Oryctolagus cuniculus: one gene and its partner. The protein of the gene in region 1 interacts with the protein of each later gene in a pairwise test. Links are inferred from orthologs where the notes say so. Each region holds a gene or a part of one and is shown in the gene's direction. Other genes may lie near its edges.

What was found.
Region 2: the proteins of EHMT2 (region 1) and KLF3 interact in binary tests that used the Homo sapiens proteins (3 or more experiments, as listed by UniProt). The two-hybrid records come from large-scale screens. The link is inferred for Oryctolagus cuniculus from reciprocal best matches to the Homo sapiens genes EHMT2 and KLF3.

The regions. Positions count from the first base shown.
Region 1 is NC_091436.1:138,646,853-138,650,855, forward strand, and holds part of EHMT2 (histone-lysine N-methyltransferase EHMT2), read left to right. Parts: intron 1-1,335; coding exon 1,336-1,420; intron 1,421-1,583; coding exon 1,584-1,624; intron 1,625-1,754; coding exon 1,755-1,910; intron 1,911-4,003. UniProt on the Homo sapiens protein: Histone methyltransferase that specifically mono- and dimethylates 'Lys-9' of histone H3 (H3K9me1 and H3K9me2, respectively) in euchromatin.
Region 2 is NC_091433.1:32,687,134-32,691,136, forward strand, and holds part of KLF3 (Krueppel-like factor 3), read left to right. Parts: intron 1-572; coding exon 573-1,059; intron 1,060-1,708; coding exon 1,709-1,859; intron 1,860-4,003. UniProt on the Homo sapiens protein: Binds to the CACCC box of erythroid cell-expressed genes. May play a role in hematopoiesis.

The DNA.
Region 1 (4,003 bases):
GTATGGATTTCAAAATCTTTTATTCTGAAATATACTTGAAAATTTTCTTTTGATTTTATTTGAAAGGGAGAGAGACAGAGAAGTCTTCCATCTGCTTATTTACTGCCTAAATGCCAGGCTGGACCAGGCCAATGCCATGAGCCTGGTACTCCATCCTGGTCTCCCATGTGGGTGGCAGTGGCCCAAGTCCTTGAGCCATCAGCTGCTGCCTCCCAGGTCCATTAGCAGCGAGCTGGATGGGAAGCAGAGGGACCAGGCACTCTGTTTTGTGTTGTGTGTGTCCCACGCGGTGCTTTGACTGCCCCCATTATCTTCCCATCTTCCATGAACTTCCTCAAGCATTGGCATACGCGTAATCGTGCAGCATGTCTTTTTGTGACTGGCTTGTTTCAGTTAGCATAACGTGCACTGTCTGTGTGGTGGTAGAATCTCCCTCCTGTTTATGGCTGAGGGATACTCCACTTTGTGTCCAGCAGTCCTTCCCGGAGATGGGTGGGGGGTTGGCTCCAAGACTCCCACCCACCCCCGTACACAGCCTCCTAATGCATTGACTTCCAACACCAACACCTCATGCAGTGTAGGTGCTGCATGGATAGTTGTTCTGCTGTGTTGTTAAGAGAATCTTGATGAAAAAGAAAGTCCATGTGTTCAGTACAGGCAGTGTTTATCTTTTTTTTTTTTTTTTTTAAGATTTATTTATTTTTATTTGGAAGAGTTACACTGAGAGAGGAGAGAGAGAGAGAGAGAGAGGTTCTCCATCCGATGATTCACTCCCCAATTGGCTGCAATGGCCAGAGCTGGGCCAATCCAAAGCCAGGAACCAGGAGCTTTTTCTGGGTCTCCCTGGCGGGTGTAGGGGCCCAAGAACTTGGGCCATCTTCTACTGCTTTCCCAGGCCATAGCAGAGAGCTGGATTGGAAGTGGAGCAGCCGGGTCTTGAACCAGCACCCACGTGAGATGCCAGCACTTCAGGCCAGGCCAGGGTGTTAACCTGCTGCGCCACAGCGCCGGCCCCTACCTTTCTCCCAGTATTTCCAACCTTGGTGGAATCAGTGGATACAGGAAGGAGCTGACTGTCTGTCTCATTTCTGCACTCATCTGTCAGCAGACACTGGTCGCTCCCACGCCTTCGCTGTCGGGAACGATGCTGCTCTGAATGTGGTCTTTAAGCTTGCTAACTTTGTCTTCTCCTCTGCACACTGGGACAGGGGGCCCTGCCTCTGCTGGGCCTCAGTGCTGGGTGGCTCACTGCTGCCCCCCTAGCTGGGCTCCCGGCCAAGCCCGCTAGGACTGTAGGTGCTGTGTGACCCTAACCGTGCTCCTCCTCATCCCCAGCCCCCTGTCCCGGAGAAGCGGCCTCCTGAAGTGCAGCACTTCCGCATGAGTGATGATGTCCACTCGCTGGGGAAGGTGACCTCCGGTCAGTCCCGTGTCCTGCGGCCCACCCCTGCCCCGTTGTTGACATGGCCTTGCCTGAGGCTTTGACAGTACAGGCCTCACTGCTCACCTCTCTCTCTCTTTCTCTCTCGTTCCCTCTTTCCCTCCCTCCCTCCCTCTCTCTCTCTCTATCTCTCCTCTTCCAGATGTGGCCAAAAGGAGAAAGCTGAACTCAGGAGGTGGCCTGGTGAGCAAGAGAGCAGGGAGCAAGACCTCTCCCCCCGGGGCTGCTCCAAGGGAGCTGGGGCTGCATCCAGAGAAGTGGGGGGCAGGGGTGGGAGAGCACAGTGGCCTCAATTTCTCTGATCTTTTCCTAGTCAGAGGAGTTGGGTTCTACTCGGGGTTCAGGAGAGGTGACCCTGGAGAAGGGGGACCACAGGTCCCTGGAGGAGTGGGAGACGGTGGTGGGCGATGACTTCAGTCTCTACTATGACTCCTACTCTGTGGATGAGCGCGTGGACTCTGACAGCAAGGTGAGCCGCCTGCCCTCCCGGCTCACGCTCGTCTTTCCCATCCTTCCCTGTTCAGTCTCCCGAGCACCCACTCAGTTTATTGCCCCATGCTGTCTGCAGCTACTTCCAGAGTGTGCTCCACCCCGTCCCCGCCCCCAGCATCCTGTACCTGCGGGTCAGCATCCCATCTTGTTCTGTGTGTGTTTGCTGTTTCCCTGCTCTGGGTTTGGCTTTATCTCATGTTTGCCTACATCATATGTTCAGCCTTGCCCGTTTTGCTCTTTTAACATTTTTGTCATGGAAACTTTCAAGGATACACAGAGGCGAAGAGTGAGCCCCCATACGCCCAGCACCCAGCTCCAGGGTGTTAGTGCAAGCCCATTACTAATACACAGCCATTCTCGACCCATCTATTTCTCCCTCAGCACACGTTGGCTGAATCATTTATTTTATTTTCTCATCTGTTTGAGGGAGATCTTCCATCTGCTGGTGTATTCTCCAAATGCCCACAACAGCCAGAGCTGGGTTGGGCTGAAAGCCAAGAGGTCAGAACTCCATCCGGGTCTCCCACACGGGTGGCAGGGGCACAGGCACTGGGAACATCCTCTGCTGCTTTCCCAGGCACAGTAGCAGGGAGCTGGATCAGAAGCAGAGCAGCCGGGACTTGAATTGGTGCTTATCATATGGGATGCCGGCACTGCAGGTGTCAGCTTGACCTGGCACCAGCTGAATTTTCAAGCAAATCCCAGGCGTCATCATTTTATCCAGAAATATTTCCATGTGTATCTCTGCATATAAATCTACTTTTTGTTTTTTAACATCACTATGCTACTATTTCACGCCTAAAAATATTAGTGATGATTTTTTAATATCATCAAATATCAGTCTTCATACTTTTTCAACTGTTCATAAGCAGTCCAAAATGGAGTCCACATGTTGATTGGTTGACATTTGTCTTAGGTTTCTCTTGATATATGGGTTATGTCATTTTCTTTTTTCTTTATTTCTTTTTAAGATTTGTTTGTTTATTTACTTGAAAGGGAGTAACAGAGAGAGAGAGAGGGAGAAGGGAGTATCCATCCCCTGGTTCACTCCCCAAATGGCCCCAACGGCCAGAGCTCAGCCGGTCTGGAACTAGGAACCAGGAGCTTCTTCCAGGTCTGCCACGTGGATGCAGGAGCCCAAGCACTTGGGCCATGTTCCTTCTCTTTCCCAGGTACATTAGTAGGGAGCTGGATCAGAAGTGAGCAAACAAGACTTGAACTGTCGCCCTATGGGATGCTGGCACCACAAGCCAGGGCATTAACCCGCTGAGCAGCACTAGCCCCTGTGTCATTTTTTTTTTTAAAGATTTATTTATCTATTAGAAAGGCAGAGAGAGAAAGAGGGAGCAAGAGGTCTTCTGTCTGCTGGTTTATTCCCCAGATGGCTGCAGCGGCCAGAGCTGGGCCAGTCAGGAGTCAGGAGCTTCCTCCTGGTCCCCAACGCAGGCGCAGGGGCCCGAGGACTTGAGCCATCTTCTAGTGCTTTCCCAGGCCATTAGCAGAGAGCTGGATGGGAAGTGGAGCAGTCAGGACTCGAACTGGTGCCCATATGGGATGCCGGTACTGCAGGCGGTGGCTTTACCTGCTATGCCACGGCGCCGGCACCATGTGTCATTTTCTTAAAAATCCTTTTTCACACCATTTGGTTATTGAGAAAGTCAGGTCATTTGTCCTGTAGAATTCCTTGCGTGTTGGGTAGGCATGGACACGTTCCTGTCTGCTGGGTAGTCTCTTGTACACTGGTAGATCCAGAAGCTTGCCCAAGCATCCTTTTTTGGCAGGAAGACCAGACAGTGGGTGTGGTGGCCAGGTGCCAGGAGGCATGTCTTCTTTTTCTTGTTAGGAACTGTAAGGTTGACCAGTGGGTTCGGGTGAGATCGACTCAGTCTCTCCGTTGTAAAGTTCCTTGTGATATGTTTGTCATTATGTTGTTGGCTTTTGGGTTTTGTGTTTGTTTTGTTTGTCTTAGTCGGTTTGAGATTCAGAGAGAGAGAGCCCCCATATCTGCTGGTTTACTCCCCAGATGTCTGTAACAGCCGGGGCTGGGCCAGGCTGAAGCTGGGGTGCCAG
Region 2 (4,003 bases), on another chromosome or scaffold:
TTAATTTCCATCCTCGATACATAACTCAAAGATTTTGCTAAAAGCAATAATTTAGGTGTTCTGTATTTCCTGACTGTGTCCTTCATGTCCTTGATTGAGGTTGGATTAGTGAAAATTCTCCTCCTGCCTTGGTTGCGTCCTGAGTGAGTCTCACTTCCAAATCATAAAAGTTAGAGCCAAGGACATAACAGTCCTCCTGAGCTGGCCTTCAGTGCCTGCCTAGGTGTGTGGGTAACCGACCCTCCCAGTTTGCAACTGAGACGTCTCCTGGGGCGGGGGCTTACAGTGCCAGCCGGGTAAACCAGGCTTGCTGACCAATGAACCGAATGCAAGGGGTCTTCGGATAGCTCATGGAAAGGAACATGCATGGGTTTTTTTGCATGTAATAAACTTAATTGCATTTTGCCATGAATTGTTTTCAAGTACCTTCATCCATCCAAGTCTAAATTACTTTTCAAGGCCCACGTGATTGAAAGTGCCTTGTTGCATGTATTTTTGTCCTAATTCATGTTTCAAGTAAATACACTTACTTGGCTGTTTACAAATGTTGTTTATTTCTTCCTTTCCAATAGTCCTACCCATCTAATTACATGGAGTCGATGAAGCCCAACAAGTATGGGGTCATTTACTCTACACCATTGCCTGATAAGTTCTTTCAGCCCCCAGAAGGCCTGTCGCACGGGATCCAGATGGAACCGGTGGACCTCACGGTGAACAAGCGGAGCTCGCCGCCTTCCGCTGGGAATTCGCCTTCATCCCTGAAGTTCTCGTCCTCGCATCGCCGAGCCTCGCCCGGGTTGAGCATGCCTTCCTCTAGCCCGCCCATCAAGAAATACTCGCCGCCCTCGCCAGGCGTGCAGCCCTTCGGCGTGCCGCTGTCCATGCCGCCGGTGATGGCAGCTGCTCTCTCCCGGCACGGCATCCGGAGCCCAGGGATCCTGCCCGTCATCCAGCCAGTCGTGGTGCAGCCCGTCCCCTTCATGTACACGAGTCACCTCCAGCAGCCGCTCATGGTCTCCTTGTCAGAAGAGATGGAAAATTCGAACAGCAGCATGCAAGGTAACTTCCTCCGCTGAGCCGAGCAGCTGCACCGGCGTGGTAGACTGTGCGCCAGCGTACTATGAGAAAGCACAGAGCACACTTTCTTCAAAGGAAATACTGGCCTGCCTCGGGCATTTCCTTTTGATTCTGTTGAAGTGTTGATAGTGGGAGAGCTCCCAAGGATCAGGCTGTCTGTCTAATACCGTGCAGTAATTACCTTCACTATATGATTGTCAGCTTTGGGATAGTCACGGTCTTGATTTCATAATTTTGTGTTATTGAATGCCAGCATGGTTCTAGGTACAGAAAGGCATTTAATAAATACTTTTTGATCGTGGTGGTAATTAAAAGCTGCCTTGTATACCAGCTGGTCTTAGCCAGAGGAGTATGGGGTGGAAGGTGGAATCCAAAAATCCCAAGAGAAAGTCCTTTTTGGAGAATTCTGAGTCTCTGCATTTGCTGCTTGCTGGCACGGTAATGATCAGAAGAAACGAGAATCCTTCCCACCCCCCGCCACCACCTAGTTGTGTCCCTTTTATATATAACTTTGCCAAAGGCAAATCGATACTCACACCTCAGTACTGTGAATAGGAACTGCGCAGTAAACTCTTAAGAGCTGAAATTGGTAAATTGTACATAGACTGACTCTTGCATTCTTATTTTTTAGTACCTGTAATTGAATCATATGAGAAGCCCATATTACAGAAAAAAATTAAAATAGAACCTGGGATCGAACCACAGAGGACAGATTATTATCCTGAAGAAATGTCACCCCCTTTAATGAACTCAGTGTCCCCCCCGCAAGCATTGTTGCAAGAGTAAGTATGCTGAGGCCTACCCGGGATGGCCATAGTGGCACACGTCTTGGGACCTGGCGTGGAGGGACCAGATTTCAAATGTGTGATGTACTGTGAATGACCACTGGGCAGTGGCTCAGTATCGCTGGTCAGCATGGGAGAAGTCCTCCAAAAACACTGTGTGCTCTGTTGCACGGACAACATGAGCACAAGTTATGCTGAGTTTCCATCAGTTATGTACCCATGATCCTGCACCCTACCACAGGAAGCATTTTTGTTTTTTTTTTTCACCCTTCTGGGCTATGGATACATAGTTTCCCCATACCTACAATTCTGGCCTAGCTTGAATTTGGTGATCTGGATAGGCAACTTAAACTTGGATTGTGAAAAGTTTTCATGTGGATACATCTAGCACTCCAAGTTAGCACTTCTAATCAATCAAGTATATGGTTTCTACCATGAGGAATGTCAAAATCTACAGGCCACGCACAAGCCCAAGAGAGACACTCCAAAACAAGTTCTATAAACAGTGGTGGCAGCAGGAAGTTGTCCCTGGAGCACAGAGAAGCTTAGCTTTGAAAGAACTCTTCATTTTCGGGTCTTTTCAATCACATGTGCTCACAGAATATTCCTTCTGTGGAATGGCCAGCCAGCAGGAGGCTTGCCCTGTATCGGTCAGCATCAAGCGCCTGAGTGGGGGTATGTGTTAGGTCCACCAGGCTGGTACCTTGGTCCCTCCCTGGGGTTAAGTCATGTCATTGGTAGGATTTGCCACTGTGGCGCTCTCTGCCGTCTCCCCGTGGTTATGGTGGAGGCCATTGTTATTGATCATGATTGGTGGTGGTGGTGTAACTTTGTCTGTGTTGTGGTGCTTCGGCATTGGACTCAGCGGCCAGCTTCCTGTCCCCGCACTTTCCCAACTTGACCAAACGTGCCACCCACCTTTCCGCCGATCTTGTCCACTCCTCTCCCCTGCCCAGTTACCTGCAGCAGAATGTGAATTGTCTGGCTGTAGAGCCTCTCTTTCTAGTACCTCCATGTACGTTCTCATCATAGCCACATTCAGCTCAGAGGGGCGCCTCCATCGTCACTTGTTTTCTGCTGTGCCAAATCATCGTTCTTTCTTGGTTGTCCCAGACTCCCTGATGGATGAAGAAGAGCATGGATCTTCTTTCCCAGCCACAGCCAGTGGGGAGAGGGTCTGTGCTGCAGTTGTATGTTAGGCTTCACCGTGGCACACAGCCCATTCCACTTTCCCAAGTGTTTTCAAAGGAATTCTCGCATGCGCCTGTAACAGGCATGTGGGAGCCGGATCAGATGAGAACTGAGAAGCCAAGCATTAGGTAGCTGGTCTGTAAGCACACTGTTAGCAACCAGGGGGGACCCAGGCCCAAGCACTTGCTTCTGGTACAGTGGTCTTCCTGCCTTCTCATCCATTTCCCACCCACGGCCTGTGCTTGCGTGCGAGGAAAAGTAGGGTGACTAAGCAGAAGAGACATCTTGTAGGCTGAGGGACCTCCTGATGACGGGGGTGGCTCTGGCAAGGTAGCTTGCAACATGACATGCACTTGTAATTGTTCCTGTCCGCGTGAGGGAAAAATGCCATGGAGCTGAAGCCAGGCGCCTGCCTGCGCAGGGAGGGCGCGTTGACGGAACAGGAATTGTTCCAAAGTCGAGGTTACTGCGCACGGCAGAGCAAAGCACGACAGAAGGCCATCTGAAGGCAGTGTTACGTGCTGTGAATGCTGCCGAAAGAGAAAACTTTTTTCCTTGCCTGTTCCATGTTCTTCTGATGATCTCAAGCTCAGTACCCTTTAATGATTAATGAGTAAAGCGCTCATTTGAATGCTGACCTCAGAATGCAGTGTGCGCCTCAGAAAAATTCAGCACATCAGCCACAACTGGGACGCGCGCTCTTTGAGTAGTTCCCTCGCAGATGTTATTAAGTCATGTCTTGGAGTGGGCCCAGTAGCAGCCCACACTGGAAACCTTGTAGCCAGGGAAGTCACTGGAAACAGGCGCCCCTGTGGTGAGGCAGCCCCAGTAATATTTGCCTTCGCAAACCCTCCTTTCTAGAGGCTGACTTTACGAGACAGCTGTAAAATCCTTTGGCTTGACCCTAGTTATGGCAAACAGCATGGCTGTTTGGGACGCTCAAAGGTGTA